Linked DNA regions of Macaca mulatta. The protein of the gene in region 4 interacts with the protein of the main gene of each other region in a biochemical or structural test. Links are inferred from orthologs where the notes say so. Each region holds a gene or a part of one and is shown on either strand. Other genes may lie near its edges.

Region 1 (4,050 bases), on a different chromosome or scaffold from region 4:
CAATACTTCCATTGAGGAACTCCCATACGCGGGCCACAGGGAGGCTCTGGAGGCGGCCTGTGTATTAGGAGGGATCAGAACTACCCCACCCCCACCCTCACTCAGCCATCTGGGCTTCTCTGAACCCCTTCTCCTCCTCTGTTCCCTAAGGCCAGCCAGGGGGAGTCCCAGGGAGGCAGACCAAAAAGGGGTGGGGTGTCATCCTGGTCACTATTAGACCCTGGAACGGCGACCTTGAAAACTACTCAGCGTCTGTTGCCCGAGTGGAGCATAGTGCTTTACAATCACAGCAAACCATCAAGGTAGGGCTACTGTTATTTTATGGTTGAAAAACGGAGGTCCTGAGTCCCTTGGGGGCTGTGCCAGCAGCGGCCAAGTTGAGATTTCCCCTGGTTCAGCAGCCCCAGACAGCACACGGTGCAGGGTAGGCTTTCTGCTTCCTTCACTTCCCCAGGGCAGGTGAGTGACCTGGAGAAAGGGGGTCACCCCTAAAAACAGGGGTAGTGCTAGGACTGAAACTCTCCCTTCTTGATACCCCACTGGCAAGCTTGAGGAGCCAGGTTGCCAGTCGGGAGATTCGGCCGGTGTTCCCCCTGGAGAGGGCGGCAAGTGCCCGGGCGATCCCCTCACCTGCGTTCAGGAGATAGACCCCCGCCCCCAACCCGCCAGGAGGGTGAAAAGATGGCCCCAGGAGCCAGCCGGCTGGGAGAAGGCGGAGTGAGAGGAGAGGCTGGGGCCGGGGGTGCCGGGCTGTCCAGGGCAGCCCTCCTCCGGGCGAGCCGGAGCAGGGGTGGATGGGGAGCGCGCGGGGCGGGCCCGTGGTGGCCCCGGGGCGGTGGCGCCCGGCCGGAGAGGGTGGGGCGGAGCAGCCGCCCTGTACTTCCCCTTCGCCGCTAGCTCTACAACAGCCTGATTTCCCCGAAATGACGGCACGCAGTCGGCCAATGGGCGCCCGCGCGGCTGTCCGGAGGCGGGGCCGGCCAGGGCTGGGGAATCCCGCTAAGTGTTTGGATTGCTCGGTGGCGCCGCTGCCCTGGCAGAGCTCGCCACTCCTTCGTCGAGGCAGGACGTGCGCCCGAGCCCCGCCGAACCGAGGCCACCCGGAGCCTTGCCCAGCCCACGCCAGCCGTGCCCAGCGGCCTTGAGACCCAGACAGCCTCTGCCTTCTTCCCCCTTCCACCCGGAGTCGCGCTCCGCGCCCCCTCACGGCAGCCCCTGCGTCGCCGGGACCTTCGCGCGCCGCCGCCGGGACCTTCGCGCGCCGCCGCCGAATCGCTCCTGCAGCAAAGGTGAGTCCGCTTTTGCGGCGCGGGGGACCGGCGGCGTCGAATAAAAGGCGCGCGGGGCACCAGGAAGTGGGGGTTCGAAAACCCCAGGTTGGAGACTCGCGGGAGCGCGGCGTTGCCCGGGCCCCCGCGCGGGCTCCGGGGGGCGCCGGAGGAGCTGCGAGCCGCGGCGCGGGGAGGGCGGGCCGCGGCGTGGACCGCCCACCCGGACGAGGCTGCCGGCGCCGGGCAGCTTTCGCAGATATGCGTGCGCGCAGCCGCTGGGGGCCTGTAGGTGGCCCGCTACGTTCGTCCCGCGCATCCACACGCCGTGCCGGGGACCGAGTGTCCGCCCACGCGTGGGCGCCCAGTGCTCCCGGCTTTCGGCGGTCCCAGCTTCGCGCCCAGGCCCCAGGTTTTGGGCTCCCTGTGCTGGTGACAAGGGCTGGCTTACTGCCCAGGTGGCTGGAGGGAATCGTGACCTACGGAGACTGCGGGAAGAGGCGCCACAGGTGTTCCTTGGGCCGCTTCTCCAGAGGAGGGGAAACCGGGCCGGAAGGGTTAGCGTCCTAGTCTTAGCGTAGTGGGCTCTGTGACTGTCAGGAGGGCGTAGAATGGATTCAGGGGGGCTGTTCAGGGTGATGGCTAGCCCTTTACTAGCTAGTGGTGACAACTCAAGTCAAGGGAATTTCTTCTTGGCATCAAGCAAAAGAAGTCCCTCCCTTCCCAAAGGATTTGAATTTTGAGCGAAAAGTTCTGAAATTAGGATATCTGTGCATTTTCTCTCTTTTCCTGCACATGAATCCTAAAGCCATCACTTGCATGCCTGTCTCATCCAGAGACTGGCTGGGATGGAGGAAGGGGCAGAAGCATTTTTGCCTAAGATGCTGAAAAAACTTGGAGAGCAGTTTTATTCCAGGGCAGCTCCCCTCCCCACTGAGTGTAGTACCTAGTAGCTGGCTGAGGGGAGGGTAACTAAGTGAACTCGGGTGGGGCAGGTCAGTGCCCAGGTACTGTTCAACAGATTCCAGACTGGAGCCTCTGTCTTCTCTTTACAGCCAACATGCCCATCACTCGGATGCGCATGAGACCCTGGCTAGAGATGCAGATTAATTCCAACCAAATCCCGGGGCTCATCTGGATTAATAAAGTGAGTGTAACTCTTTGGGTTTTCCTGCCACTGTTTTAACCCATGTACTTCTGGAGGGACCAAAGCTTCAGATGCAGCTCAAAAAGGGAAGTGATAACAGGACAGGCAGATGTTTCTCCCAATGGGTCCTGCATGCAGGGAGGGAGTGTGCAAGGCCCAGCCTGGGCCTCACTTGCACGACTCCTGCTTTCTTCCCTTCTTGAGGTAGGGCACCCACCTGAAGGCACTTCCAGTTTCCAGCAGCAAGACTTTCCCAGCATCTGCAGAGCTGGAGTTCTGGTCTCCTCTGAGGGAGACCCTTACAAACATACACAGCACCTTGCAGGGCTCTAATCAAACAAATAGAAGACTTGAGAAGTGGATGCTGCTGGGCAGAAAGGTGGCTGGCTTAGCAGAGGACAAACGAATCAATCTTGCACCAGTCACTGTGGCCCAAGAAGCCTATAGCTGGTGCACTTGGGGCAACATAGACACTATAGGCTTAGTAGCAATGATAGTATTCATAATAATAGCTAATGCTTACTGAACACTCTCTGTGTGCCTGGCACCTGCTACGTATGTTATTTACATTGTGTCATTTAATCCTCGCAGTAGTCCTGTGGGGTAGGTCCTGTTCATGTCATCATTTTCAGATAAGTAAACAGAGGCACTGAGAGGAAGATTGTAAGATCACACAAAAAGTGATGAAGCCAAGATTTGAACTTGAATGGTCTGACTCAGAAATCTTTACTGTTAACCATCAGTGATAATAACAGTAAGACCTTAGACTTCATATTTGTCACTGTGTCCCTACACATTCTCTGGTTTTTAATTCTCAAAATTTTGTTGGATATGTTTTCTCATTTCAGAGAAGAGAAAACTGAGGGGAAAAGAGATACAGTGACAATGCCAGGGTTACACAGTGTTCACCATCCAAGTCTAGCTCCCTCAGTCGTATGACCAGGACCTCTTGTGTAGAAGCCCATGGTCCCAGGTGTCCTGAGGAGTCCTTTCTAATGGAAGAAGTTCTTACTTCCATGTTGGTGTTTACAAGCCAGAGAGAAACATCCCAGAGCTTCAAAATCAGGGCTTTGGGGGAGGGTGCCCTGTGTGGGTCCTAGCACATGTGTAACAGGCAGAGGGAGGTCTTTGTGAGCTAATAGTGCTGCAGCTCATCCGAACTAGGAGTCCCTCCTGAGAGATCCCGAGTGGTCTGTTTAAGCCAGCCTAAAGATGGGTCAGTCCAAGCCAGATGGCAGGGGGAAAAGGGGAAGTCAGCCTTTTCTCAGACCTGTCTGGCTGGGCAAGCCTGGGTCTCAGACTCAGCCCCAAAGTCTGTGGCCTCTGAGCTGACACAGCCTCGTGTATATGTGTGTGTTGTTCAGGAGGAGATGATCTTCCAGATCCCATGGAAGCATGCTGCCAAGCATGGCTGGGACATCAACAAGGATGCCTGTTTGTTCCGGAGCTGGGCCATTCACACAGGTGTGTGCCTGGGACTCAGGCCTAGGAAGGCCAGGGTAGAGACAAGAGGAGGCACTAACGTTAACACAGAGGCTCTTCACTGGGGTCCCTGAGCTCCCTGAGACAATATGCAGAATTACTGGGAACAGGGGCTGGTGGCAGACTAGTGTTTCTGGAGAAGAGAGTCCATCA
Region 2 (4,210 bases), on a different chromosome or scaffold from region 4:
CGCATATCTTCTGTAGCCAAAATTAGCATGCTTCATCCAGGCCCTACTATCAAAATCTCACTATCTGAGGTCCCACTATCTAAGGTTACTTAGGAAGTGGGACACTTCAAAACACATCTTACATTTCTAAGTCTCTCTAGGAGTGTGACAGGTACTGACCATTTTTTAAGCTATCAGACATGAGAAGCCCTTTTTTTTTTCTTTTCTGAGACTTACTTTTTTGAGACAGAGTCTCACTCTGTCGCAAGGTTGGAGTAGAGTGGCACAATCTCGGCTCACTGCAACCTCCGCCTCCCGGGTTCAAGCAATTCTCCTGCCTCAGCCTCCCAAGTAGATGGGATTACAGGCACCCGCCACCATGCCTGGCTAATTTTTGTATTTTTAGTAGAGACGGGGTTTCACCTTGTTGACCAGGCTGGGCTCCATCTCCTGACCTCAGGTGATCCACCTGCCTCGGCCTCCCAAAGTGCTGGGATTACAGGTGTGAGCACCCAGTCGACAGCCCTCTTTTTAAAATATATCCCTGGTCCTCAAAGGCAGTTAAAGCTGTGAGCCACCTATAATAGCTGTAAATTAAAGCTTGAATAAGATTTCACCTGGGTGTGTTTCTAAAGTAAGAATCCTTAGGAATGTATTATTAAGAGGGGCCAGAGGCAACAGCAATGGAGTCATCGCCTTCCTTAACATGTCTGCTTAATATTCAAAAATAAATGTGATCATACAACTCCTTTACATGAATGATCTCCGCCAATCCATACTGTGGGACCAACGCCAGACAGCCTCCCAGTAAGAAGAGGAATCTAGATTGCAGGATGGGGGGCGGAGAAGAGATTTTAAAAATGGAGACATGCATTCCAAACCAAAGTAGTGGGATTATATTTGTTCAGGTCAGCTCTGAGCATCATGTGTCTTTTGTTTTGAGATGAAGTCTCACTCTTGTCGTCCAGGCTGGTGTGCAATAGTGCGATCTTGGCTCACTGCAACCTCTGCCTCCAGGGTTCAAGCAATTCTCCTTCCTCAGCCTCCCGAGTAGCTGGGATTATAGGCGCACACCACCACACCCAGCTAATTTTTGTATTTTTAATAGAGACGGGGTTTCACCATGTTGGTCAGGCTGGTCTTGAACTCCTGACCTCAGGCAATCCACCCGCCTTGGCCTCCCAAAGTGCTGGGATTACAGACGTGAGCCACCGCGCCCGGTCCATCATGTGTCATTTTTATAGCGTACGTAAGTGCAGGAAATGTTAGGAAGGTGTATGGACAATCTGAAAACCCAGTTACCCTTTAGTTAAAAGTGTGGATCAGTTAGCTAGAAAACACCTGTGCACGACTGGGCACGGTGCCTCATGCCTGTAATCCCAGCACTTTGGGAGGCCGAGGCAGGCGGATCACCTGAGGTCGGGAGTTCGAGACCAGCCTGACCAACATGGAGAAACCCCGTCTCTACTAAAAAAAATTACAAAATTAGCTGGGCGTGGTGGCACATGCCTGTAATCCCAGCTACTTGGGAGACTGAGGCAGGAGAATCGCTTGAACCCGGGAGGCAGTGGTTCCGGTGAGCCAAGATCGCACCATTGCACTCCAGCCTGGGCAACAAGAGCAAAATTCCGTCTCAAAAAAAAAAAAAAAAGAAAGAAAGAAAGAAAAGAAAAGAAAAGAAAGAAAGGAAAGAAAAAGAAAATACCTGTGCACACCAACACAAACGAAAGGATGTTGTGTGACTTACAAAAACCTCACAAGAAGGGGTCCTTTGAGTCTCCCCTCGCCTTGACCCCTTGCTACTCACAATGAGATCAGCAGACACACAGTATCTGACCGGCAGCATCCACCACAGGAGGACTTCTCAGAAATGCCGAATCTCAGGACCCGTCCCAGAGCGACGGAAAGAGGGCACACGTCTTACCAAGATCCCCAATGATTCCGGTGCCCAGTGACGTTCGAGATGCACCCCACAGAGCATTCGAAACCATTCTACAAACAACTTTTGAGCTTTCCACTAATTGGGTGGGGGCTGCACACACCGTCATTGCAAATGGATAAGGGTTTTGAAGCCCTGGGTGTTTCCTCTTTCTGGCACAGCATGGCAACGGTCCCAGCAAGGGGCAGCCCACGGGAGCTCCTTTGCACACCAGGCTGCTGCTCCTAAAGGCTCTGGACACACAGGAGACCTCCAGCCTGCTTGGGAGGGGGACACTCGCTCCTAACAAGCCTCGTTTCGGGTCAGAGATACTGGACTAGAAACCTGACTTGGGCGCCTCATCACAGAAAGAGAGAAAGAAGAGATGGGGACGGAAGGCACCTGAGCCAGCACTTCCTGTCTGAGGCCAGGGCGGGTATGACGGGCAGGCCAGGTGCCGGCTGAGAGGGGCACGAGGATGGAATCCGGCGTGCACCTGCGAGACGGACCCCCAGGTGGCCCCTCCAAGGTCAAGGGAGGGGGTGAGAACTTGAGTGAGGCTGAGCCAGCTTCCGCAGAGAGGGGCCACCAGACGCAGAGCGAGAGAGGCGCCCGGACATCAGACGGACAGACAGAGGCTGACGCAGGAGGACCAGAGGGCCCAGCGCCGGACAGGCTCCCCGGGCGGACGGACAGACAGACAGACAGACAGACGGGCCCCGCCCGAGGCGACTCACAGGTGCGCGATGCCGGCCTTGCGCACCGCGGAGGAGATGGCTTTGACGGCCGTGCAGAGCGAGTTGAGCAGCTGGGTCAGCTCACCCGTGCCGCGGGCCTTCCTGCCCTCCTCCATGACGAAGCGGGTCAGGGTGTTGACGTCCGTGTCGAAGGGCGCCTGGTCAGCCATGCTGGGGCCGGGCCGCGGGGCGGCAGGTGCGGCGGCAGGTGCGGGGGCAGGTGCGGGGCGGCAGGTGCGGGGGCAGGTGCGGGGGCAGGTGCGGGGGCAGGTGCGGGGGCAGGTGCGGCGGCAGGTGCGGGGGCAGGTGCGGGGGCAGGTGCGGCGGCAGGTGCGGGGGCAGGTGCGGGGGCAGGTGCGGGGGCAGGTGCGGGGCGGCAGGTGCGGCGGCAGGTGCGGGGCGGCAGGTGCGGGGCGGCAGGTGCGGGGGCAGGTGCGGCGGCAGGTGCGGGGGCAGGTGCGGGGGCAGGTGCGGCGGCAGGTGCGGGGGCAGGTGTGGGGGCAGGTGCGGGGGCAGGTGCGGGGCGGGACCTGGCGGGAGGACGGACAGACCGACTGCGGCCCCGAGTGTCCGCGGCGCTCGCGGTGAGACTGGGCCAGGCCCGGCGCGGGCGGGTGAACCGGGAACCTTTAGCCGCGGGTCGGCCCCGCCCCCACCCCCGGGAACACCCCGCGCCGCCTCCCGCCGCCCAGCCCGCGGCTCCGCCCGCCGGATCTTCGGACCCTCCCCGCGCCGCCCCCGCAGCCTCCGCGCCCTCCATCTGCGCTGCGGGGCGGGGCTCGGGCCGTCGGACCCGCCGGAGAGAAAAGCTGTTTCTTTGCCGGAGTTTCCTCCACAATCATGACGCGGAAGTTCACAGAGGTTGAGTAACTTGCTCAGCGCCCCAGTTGGGCAGCGAAACCCCCAGCAGCCCCCGCTCCGCAGACCCGCCCGCGCGGCCTCCTGCCCGGCCCCTGCCCAGGCCTGTCCACCTGCCCGTCCTGTCACTGCCCCCCTGTCCACCTGCCCGTCCTGTCACTGCCCCCCTGTCCACCTGCCCGTCCTGTCACTGGCCCCCTGTCCACCTGCCCGTCCTGTCACTGCCCCCCTGTCCACCTGCCTGTGCTGTCACTGCCCCCCCATCCACCTGCCCGTCCTGTCACTGCCCCCCTGTCCACCTGCCCGTCCTGTCACTGGCCCCCGTCCACCTGCCCGTCCTGTCACTGCCCTCCTGTCCACCTGCCCGTCCTGTCACTGCCCCCCTGTCCACCTGCCTGTGCTGTCACTGGCCCCCTGTCCACCTGCCTGTGCTGTCACTGGCCCCCCTGTCCACCTGCCCGTCCTGTCACTGGCCCCCCTGTCCACCTGCCCGTCCTGTCACTGGCCCCCCTGTCCACCTGCCCGTCCTGTCACTGCCCCCCCGTCCACCTGCCCGTCCTGTCACTGCCCCCCTGTCCACCTGCCTGTGCTGTCACTGGCCCCCTGTCCACCTGCCTGTGCTGTCACTGGCCCCCCTGTCCACCTGCCCGTCCTGTCACTGGCCCCCCTGTCCACCTGCCTGTGCTGCCCCCCTGTCCACCTGCCCGTGCTGCCCCCC
Region 3 (4,113 bases), on a different chromosome or scaffold from region 4:
GTAAAAAACAAACAAACAAACAAACAAAAAGCCTATTACAATACCACACTACCCTGTTACTGATCACAAAATAAGGGAGAAGGTATTTCCATTTTTTTTAAACAAAATATCAAACTGTTACTCTTAAACCAGATAAACAGCAATACATGTGTGACCAATATTCATAAATTAATGCTCTGAAGCTAACTACCTGCTATTCAAAGGAAAAGCATTCAAAAAGTACTGAAAAACAGGTAAATCTCCACATCGCCCATATGGGACAGAAATGCAAAGAACATTATGTTCCTCGAGCCCCACCTGGCCCTCCACTACCTAGAACCTAAACTGCCTTGTTCAAACACAGAGCGCAGAAACTATTCTAGACTTCACTCAGAAAAGGGGAGGTTGCTGGACATGACACTGAGGCTTTCAGTGGCCATGACAGTGGCATCATCTGTGGTATCAGTCATGGCCTGGGCTCTCTCTTCCACATCTTTCAAAGCATCCTTGTACCAGGATGGAAAGGAACTAGGGACAGTGTTGTTCAGCTTGGCTAAAAACTCGAGTACTTTACTCTTGATGCTTTCTGAATGGGCTCTCGGACCCCACAGGAATTCATAATATGGAGGAGAACTGTTTGGCACCTCCCGACACTCCAGGTATTGCCCCTGCACCCAAACTTTAGTGAGGAGCTCCCTGGGCTCCCCATAGATGAAGTGCTCCCTCCCAGCATACACCCCTATTGCATTCAGCACTTCCCAGATGACCTCCTCAGAGGCAAAGCTGCCCTTTATGAAGATCACACTCAGAATAATAATCAGGAGGCTGTTCTCCGGCATGCCCTCGTCATCACTACCCTCATCAGTGAGGTCTACTGTGTTTGCAAACACAGAAAAGTGGTCAGGGCCCACTTCTATCAGAGCAAGGCCAAAAAGGAGCTCCATGAACTCACGGGCTCTCTTGAGTATCACAGGAAAGTAGTCTTTGTACTTGATGACAATCATCAGCATCTCTGCCTCTGTTACAGGCTCCTCTGCTTTGTACCTGAGGAGCAGGAACGCCACTAACTCGGCCACCTTTTCATCTAGTGTATGTGTGAAAGAGGACTCACTGTCTGGCAGGCCCTGACAGGTACTTGTATCCTCCTCTTTTTGGCTGCTGGACTCTTCACTGAATGAGCTCCATGAAAAAGAGGAGCAACAGGAGCTCAGAGGACTCTGGGAAGGACCCTGTGGAGGACTCTGTGGAGGACTACTGGGAGTGCTCTCGGGAAGACTTGGTATCACATCAGACGGCACCTCCTCCTCAGGACCACCAAGAATCAGAGAAGAGGATGAGGAGAAGGAAGAGGGGGAAAATACTAAGTAGAAAGTGGAAGAGGAAATGGAGGAGGCTTCCTCCTCTTCCTCATCTGTGGGATCCTGTGCATCTACCCAGTCCTCTGACTCAACTGAGGCCGGAGAGTCGTCGTCAACGTTGTGGAATGGAACGCCCGGAATGGGAGGCATAACGACTTCTTCAGGCGCAGCAGGTAAAGGTATCAACAGGGATATGGATGATGAGATCCAACAGGCCTGTGGAAGAGAGTGACAGTGTGAATGGCCTCAGCTGAGAAACTCACCCATGATGGCTCTGACAAAGGCCAACTTAGAGCTCTTCTTCTCTTAAGGTGGTGCTCTAGGGCCTCACAGGTCTCCTGTCTTCCTAGGGAGTTTGTCTGCTGGCAACCTGTAGGAGGATGTGGGAACACACCTCAGGGCACAGCTGGCAGGCAGAGCCTGAGACCCCAGGAATAACAGTAGGTGGGTACCGCCGGGTGCTGTGGGGTCTCCTCTGTTTCTGGGGGTAGGGCCCTTGGTACACAGTCAGGGTGTGCACTCACCTTGACTCCTGGCACTGCCTGGGTCTCCTCTGCTGTGCTGACTTTAGGATGTGTGCCTCACACCCAGTTTGTCACCACCTGGTTCCTGGAGCACCTGCAAGAGGAAGTGACGGAGCCCCTCAGGTTAAAGACTACAAGTAGAGTCTTGGGCCTCCCAGGGCTGACAGCTGGGGCTGGCCAGAATCCCAGAGCCCCATAGTTCTGGACTGCATGGCCCCCTCAGAATTTAATTGGAAACCTCACGGCTTCTCAGAGAGGGTCAAGCCCCCACCACTCTGCTGGCCTAAGGCAAAACCTCCTAGCAACCTCCACATCCCTGAGAGCAGTGGGAGGTAGTGCAGTGGCAGCCACCTCCCAGGACTCTACCATGGAGGTGGTCTGGGTGGCCTCACGTCCGTTCTGATGCACATGTGACTCCTGTCTTCTGTCTTATCGCCAGCAGGGCCTGGGAATCTTCCCTCTGCCAACCAGAGGCAGCTCCCCGTGCTGACTTGCCACGGGACCCCCAGAACAAGGCCTCTGCCTCCCCTCCATCCCTCACCCAGAAATGAGATGGCTGCCACTCAGCCTGAGCTGGCAGGGGAGTTCTACGAGGGCTGATTCTCGAGGAGCAGGGTGGGAATCTGTGGGAATCTGTCCTCTGAGATGGGGGTTCCCCCAGTCCTCCTCAATGTCTTCCTATTTATTCCCTAGAGGGCTGGCACCTCCTCCCTTCTTCTGTGGGCATTTTCCTGTCTGGGACCTACCAGTCCCACTGCAGCGGCAGTGCAGGCCGGGATTTCATCTCTCTATGGTGGGAGGTCCCTCAGTTCTTCCTCAGGGCCCTCACCTTGTGGACTGGCCAGGTCTAAGACTCCCCGCCGCTGACTTGATTCGAATCTCCTTGCAAAATGCCTCCGATCCTTTGGATTCCCAAGATGGCCGTCTGGAAAGCACATCCGGGAACCCGGCCGTAGTGGTCCAGGGCTGACGGCAGCGTCAACGTGGGGCGGGGCCTCCTCTCTGGGGAGGAACCACTCCCCACCTCTCCGCTTCTTTTCCATCCCTTCCTTCCCACATCCCAGCTGCCCTCCAACCCTTCCTGCTCACTCCCTAAACCTTGTGGACCTTTTCACTCCCACCTCCCCAGTCCTTGACATCCCACCCTCCTTTTTCCAGGGGTGTCAGCAGGGAGCGACTTGGTGCAGCCTGCACCTCCCCTCCGTGTTGGGAGGTCACCGTCCTTCCACATCTCTTCTTGTTTTCTGGCCAGTTCTGGGACTTCTCTCTCTGCTTAACTGAAGCTGCCCTCCTCAGAGACAGCCTCCCCTTCTGCTGACTCCCAAAATAGAAGTAAGAAAATTGTACATCTGGGGACCCTGATGGGGTCCTCCAGAGTTGGCAGCAGGCACAGGGACAGGACAGAGGGCACTACCGGTCATGGGTGTTCCCTTCTTGCCCTCCTGAGAGGCTGTGCCTGGACTCCTGAAATGGCCTGGACTCCCTGTCTCTGTGCATCTGAGTCTTTCACCTGCGAATAAGCCCCTCCCATCCCTGAGACCTGCAAGGTGGAAGAGAAGTAGAATCACATCCACCCACAGTGGGATAGGGCCTCCTGGCCCTAAGGCAGGCCTCCACTGCCCTCTGAAATGGGGTGGGAAGGCCCCTATGGCTTTCTCAAGGTATTACTTCTAAAAGAGCCTATACTCCTTCCTTCTCCTGTCCAGACAGCAACATTTGTTCCTTCAACTTCTAAATTCCATTCCAAGTTTTTCTACTTTACTGCTGTGAGTGAAGTTAATATCATCTCTCCCATAGCCTGTGTGTTACAAGGCTTCCTTATTGTTGCTTCTTTTCCTATTCTAGTCCCTGAACAAAAATCACTGTCTTTTCAGCAACCCGTGACCCTTTAAAAAAACAATACGTGATTAAAGTTTTAAATACACACATCAGATTTAACTAGAATGTGAAGTTATATGTATTTTGGAAAATGCATGGAGTCCCATATCTGCAAATCAAGTATCATACTGACCGGTTCCACCTGCCTAAAATTCTCCTGTGCATCCCGGTTGATGTCAATCACTGCACTCTACAAAGCTCCTAGCAACTCTCTTCTGTTTTCAGTTCCTATAATTTTAACTTTTCTAATTTGTCATATGATTAGCTTCATAAAATACTGACTTAAAAGTATGCCTGTACTATTTTTTTATCACAACTAGCAAGGAATGAGAAATTCTGTTATTCTATATCTTCTCTTACATTTAGTATTTTAG
Region 4 (4,030 bases):
TGGGGCCTCATTTCCTGCCCATTCTGTGACACTGGGCCATTTATTGGGAAGATGTAGAGGGTGTGGCCAGCGAAGAACACAGGCCTGCAAGCCCAATTCCTTGCTCCCAGAAACCTCTGCCCCAACATAGCTGAGAAACACAACCCTTTCTTCTAGCTTCTAGAGGTGACACAAAGGTAAAGGTAAGGACAGCCTCCGGAAAAAGAGGACTACCCCCCCACACACACTGTTCCCTTTATTCTCCAAGTGGACATATTCAGAATTCTGCCTACAAACCACCCTGGACTCCTTTTCTTCTCCTTTCATGGTTAACTTCCTCCCTCTTTCGTGACAAGAAAACACCAGGGTCTCTTACAACCCAAGAGCCCAGAGAAAACCTGTAGAGGTTCTCATACTGGGAGAGATAAAATGTCAAACTAGGACCCTCAGAATGGTGGTCACACCCCCTCTAGACCAGGAGCTTGGTGCTCAGCATAATTCCACCCCAAGACCAACACATTAATAACCTTCAAAGCCTGCTTCCCCATTAGAAAACCGATTAAGCATAGTGGTCCAACATACCAACCAAATCCAAAATACGTAGCATCAGGGCTCACTGGGGAAACTGACTTCCCCAGTGCCACCATTCCTGCACCCTGACCTTTGCTTGGGACGTCTGGAATGTAGGACACCCTGCAGCCCCTGCCTATCCCTCCTGGCTCCTCAGGCCCCACAGCCGCCACTTTCCCACTATCTTCCACCAATGCTGGCCTCTGGGATGGGAAGAATCACGGTATGGCTACCAAAAGGCCACTCATGGGAGGATTTTGGCCCAAAAACTGGGCTACACTCAAAAGACTCTCAAGCTCCTTTCCAAATCAAAGCTAGCGAGTGTCTGCGAAAAGCTGGAAATGCCAAACCAAACTCCGGGTAAGTCTCTGCCAACTCAAAAGCTAAAACGTTTCCAGAAATCACCATCACTTATAACCCATGGACCCACAAAGTCTCATTTTCCCTAACAGCATCTTATACCAGATGTGTGCCAGGGAACCACAAACCCAGTAAGCCCTTCACACCATGCCTTTCCCTGTTTGCATATTCTGAGCCCTTCAACACCAGGACTGAGAACTCCCTGATAAGCTTCCTCAAACCCTCTGTACCTCCCTGCAGCACATTAAGGTCTCCACGTCTCCCCTTCCCACCCCCTCCCACCTAAGCCCTAGAGACTACACACCACAACCACAATTTTCCTGCTTTTGGAGTTCTGCTCTCCAGCCCTTCGGGCGGCACCCCCTGGACAACTCTAGGACCCATCCACCAAATGCAACCAACATTATAAAAGCAACTGAGGGCACACACGGGAAAGCAACAGCCCCCTCAGCCTCACGTACCAGTAGAGCGCACAGTGTGATCCTTGGTGTACTTCACCCGCTGGTGCGCCTCTACACAGGTCTCACACAGAGGCTCCGAGCACTCCACACAGTAGCTGGTAGCTGGGGCATTATCCTCACAGCTAGTGCAGCACTGCCAGACAAAGGCAGGGTCAGAGAAAGCAAGACAACTTGCTAGATCCACATCTACACCTCAGAAAATACAACCCAAGATTAAGATTGGTCCCTTGACCCAGCCTAGACAGCCCACCCAGAGCCTTGGGAAAGTCGAGTAACAGCCTGGGAGCTGGTGTCAAGCTCCTCCTGGGCAGATGCCCCCTCCCCAGAAACCTCCCTGTGGTTGCTGCGGTTGGACGCACCTGGTTAGCATCCTGGGCGTCGGTGGCAGCCTTGCTGCCACTATCACGCATGAAATAATTCTCCACGATGTCTTTGGAGAAGCACTGTTGCTTGCACACGGGACAGTCCACCACTTCAAGAGGCAGGGATGTGGGAGACTGTTACAAGTTCCCACCCAAGTTATGGCCCCCCGCATCCCCGTGCTGGGTGGGCCCCCGACCATTACCCCGCAGCGAGGCAGCCCCTCCCCTCCCCTCCCTGAGCCCTTTCTCCAACTTTAGTCAGATGTCTCATCTCAGCGGCCAGCTCAAACCCACGTTCCTATGCAGGACCCAGAAAGTACTCCCCGTGCACTGTCCGGGCCCCCATCCTCTTGCCCAGGTGGCATCCTCATCTCTGCACCCAGTGGGAATCAAAGGCAGAGAGTAGGGGGAGGGGTGGCCCCGATCACTTCGTACTTACCGGCGCCGTCGCCCGCAGCCCCGCCGTCCCCGGAGCTGTTGGCGGCGGCGGGCGCCGCGGGCCCTAGGCAGGCACTACAGGCCGAGTGCAAACAGGGCAGCAGGCGGGGCTCCCTCTCGGGTCGCAGGCGCTCTCTGCACACGCCGCAGTGCTCCAGCAGCTCCAGCGCCTCGGCGCCGCCCCCCGCGGGCGACGACACCGAGGCCGAGGCCGAGGCCGAGGCCGCGGTCGAAGAAGCGGTGGAGCGCTTTTCGCCGCCAGCGGAGCTCTCGCCCGGGCCCGGGCTGCCAGAGGCGGCCGAGGCCGCTGCTGCCGAGGCTGCCGCCGCCGAGGCCGCCATTCACACGCCGCCGGGGGCGCCCAGGGGGGAGGAGGGGCGCGGGGCCCGCCGCGCAGGCGCAGACGCGCTCGCCGCCAACTGCTGGGCCGCCGCCGCCGCCGCCGCGAGGCCGAGCACCGCCACGCGCCTCCTGGGCCGCTGCCCGCCGCGCGCGGGACGCTGCTGCGGCACCGCCAACTGCTGCCTGCTCGCCTCCCGAAGGCGCCGCCCGCGCTTCTTCCTCAGCCGCCGCCGAAACCCTCACCACGCGCCACAAGCACAAGCACAACCGCTCGCCCGCGCGCCCGCTCGCAGAAAGAGCCGAGGCCGGGGGGCGGGACAGAAATAACTGGCGCCGACGCCGCCGCGCACGCGCATTGGGCGCCGCACGCCCGGGGGCGGGGCCCAGGCCGGTCGGGGCGGGAGAGGCTGCCAGTACGCACGCGCCCACTCCGGGTCCTTCCACCACGGCCAACCCCACGTCGGTGGGGTCTTGTGGGGGCGGGGCGGTCCCTCTGTGACGTCACTGCCGCAATTTAATCCGCCAGTGGGGTGTGCGCACCTTTATAGAGTGTGATTCCCCTCTCAGCTCCACCTCCAGACCACACCGAAGCGGGCCGCTGTGCGCCCAAGCGCATGGGCAGTCCGTAACTCTTCCTCAACCCGCGTCTTTTCGCTCGCGTAGAGTCGTCTCCAGCCTTTGCGTCACTAAGCGTTCGGGATAGGGGGCAGGGCCAATGGAGAAGTAGGCGGGGCCAAGACGGAGTAAAGGGCTGTGCCCCGGGAGAGGGGAGGACAGGCTCCATCCCAGGAGGGAGGAAGCGCCTGTGTGAGAGCAGGGGCTGACTTTTGAATTTTAACCACGTTATAGTTAAACTTGAGAAACACAGAAAGTTGCCTAAATCAAATGTAGATCACAGACGGGCGCCGTGGCTCATACCTGTAATCCCACCATTTTCTTAGGCGAATCGGGAGGCTCCGTTTAGCCCAGGAGGCCGGGGCAGCAGTGAGCCGGGATTGTGCCACTGCACGCCAGCCTAGACAACAGATCGAAAAAAATGTGGCCGGGCGCGGCGGCTCACGCCTTTAATCCCAGCACTTTGGGAGGTCGAGGCGGGTCGATCACCTGAGGTCGGGAGTTCGAGACCAGCCTGGGCAACGTGGTGAAACCCCGTCTCTACTAAAAATACAAAAATTAGCCGGGCGTGGTGGCGGGCGCCTGTACTCCCAGCTACTCGGGAGGCTGAGGCAGGAGAATCGCTTGAACCCGGAAGGCGAAGGTTGTAGTGAGCCGAGATCATGCCATTGCACTACAGCCTGGGAGAAAAGAGCGAAACTCCATCTCAAAAGAAGAAATCTTTTTGTGTTTGTTTTGAGACGGAGTTTTGCTCTGTTGCCCAGGCTGGAGTGCAGTGGCGCGATCTCGGCTCACTGCAACCTCTGCCTCCCGGGTTCAAGCAATTATCCTGCCTCAGCCTCCTGAGTAGCTGGGATTACAGACATCCGCCTCCACACGCCCGACTATTTTTTGTATTTTTAG

The links. The genes of interacting proteins can lie anywhere in the genome.
Region 1: the proteins of TRIM28 (region 4) and IRF1 form a complex in vitro, tested with the Homo sapiens proteins (2 studies listed by BioGRID). The link is inferred for Macaca mulatta from reciprocal best matches to the Homo sapiens genes TRIM28 and IRF1.
Region 2: the proteins of TRIM28 (region 4) and FBP1 form a complex in vitro, tested with the Homo sapiens proteins (2 studies listed by BioGRID). The link is inferred for Macaca mulatta from reciprocal best matches to the Homo sapiens genes TRIM28 and FBP1.
Region 3: the proteins of TRIM28 (region 4) and MAGEC2 form a complex in vitro, tested with the Homo sapiens proteins (3 studies listed by BioGRID and IntAct). The link is inferred for Macaca mulatta from reciprocal best matches to the Homo sapiens genes TRIM28 and MAGEC2.

The regions. Positions count from the first base shown.
Region 1 is NC_133411.1:141,396,334-141,400,383, reverse strand, and holds the start of IRF1 (interferon regulatory factor 1), read left to right. Parts: upstream 1-1,246; 5' UTR 1,247-1,289; intron 1,290-2,323; 5' UTR 2,324-2,328; coding exon 2,329-2,415; intron 2,416-3,779; coding exon 3,780-3,879; intron 3,880-4,050. UniProt on the Homo sapiens protein: Transcriptional regulator which displays a remarkable functional diversity in the regulation of cellular responses.
Region 2 is NC_133420.1:128,832,762-128,836,971, reverse strand, and holds the start of FBP1 (fructose-1,6-bisphosphatase 1), read right to left. Parts: upstream 2,805-4,210; coding exon 2,635-2,804; intron 1-2,634. Other genes in the region: uncharacterized protein LOC144334803, read left to right, coding at 2,803-3,000, 3,067-3,222. UniProt on the Homo sapiens protein: Catalyzes the hydrolysis of fructose 1,6-bisphosphate to fructose 6-phosphate in the presence of divalent cations, acting as a rate-limiting enzyme in gluconeogenesis. Plays a role in regulating glucose sensing and insulin secretion of pancreatic beta-cells.
Region 3 is NC_133426.1:148,497,606-148,501,718, forward strand, and holds the start of MAGEC2 (melanoma-associated antigen C2), read right to left. Parts: upstream 2,805-4,113; 5' UTR 2,691-2,804; exon of another isoform or gene 2,608-2,690; intron 1,956-2,607; 5' UTR 1,862-1,955; intron 1,554-1,861; 5' UTR 1,488-1,553; coding exon 366-1,487; 3' UTR 1-365. UniProt on the Homo sapiens protein: Proposed to enhance ubiquitin ligase activity of RING-type zinc finger-containing E3 ubiquitin-protein ligases.
Region 4 is NC_133424.1:70,682,149-70,686,178, reverse strand, and holds the start of TRIM28 (transcription intermediary factor 1-beta), read right to left. Parts: upstream 2,810-4,030; 5' UTR 2,512-2,809; coding exon 2,172-2,511; intron 1,843-2,171; coding exon 1,730-1,842; intron 1,504-1,729; coding exon 1,371-1,503; intron 1-1,370. UniProt on the Homo sapiens protein: Nuclear corepressor for KRAB domain-containing zinc finger proteins (KRAB-ZFPs).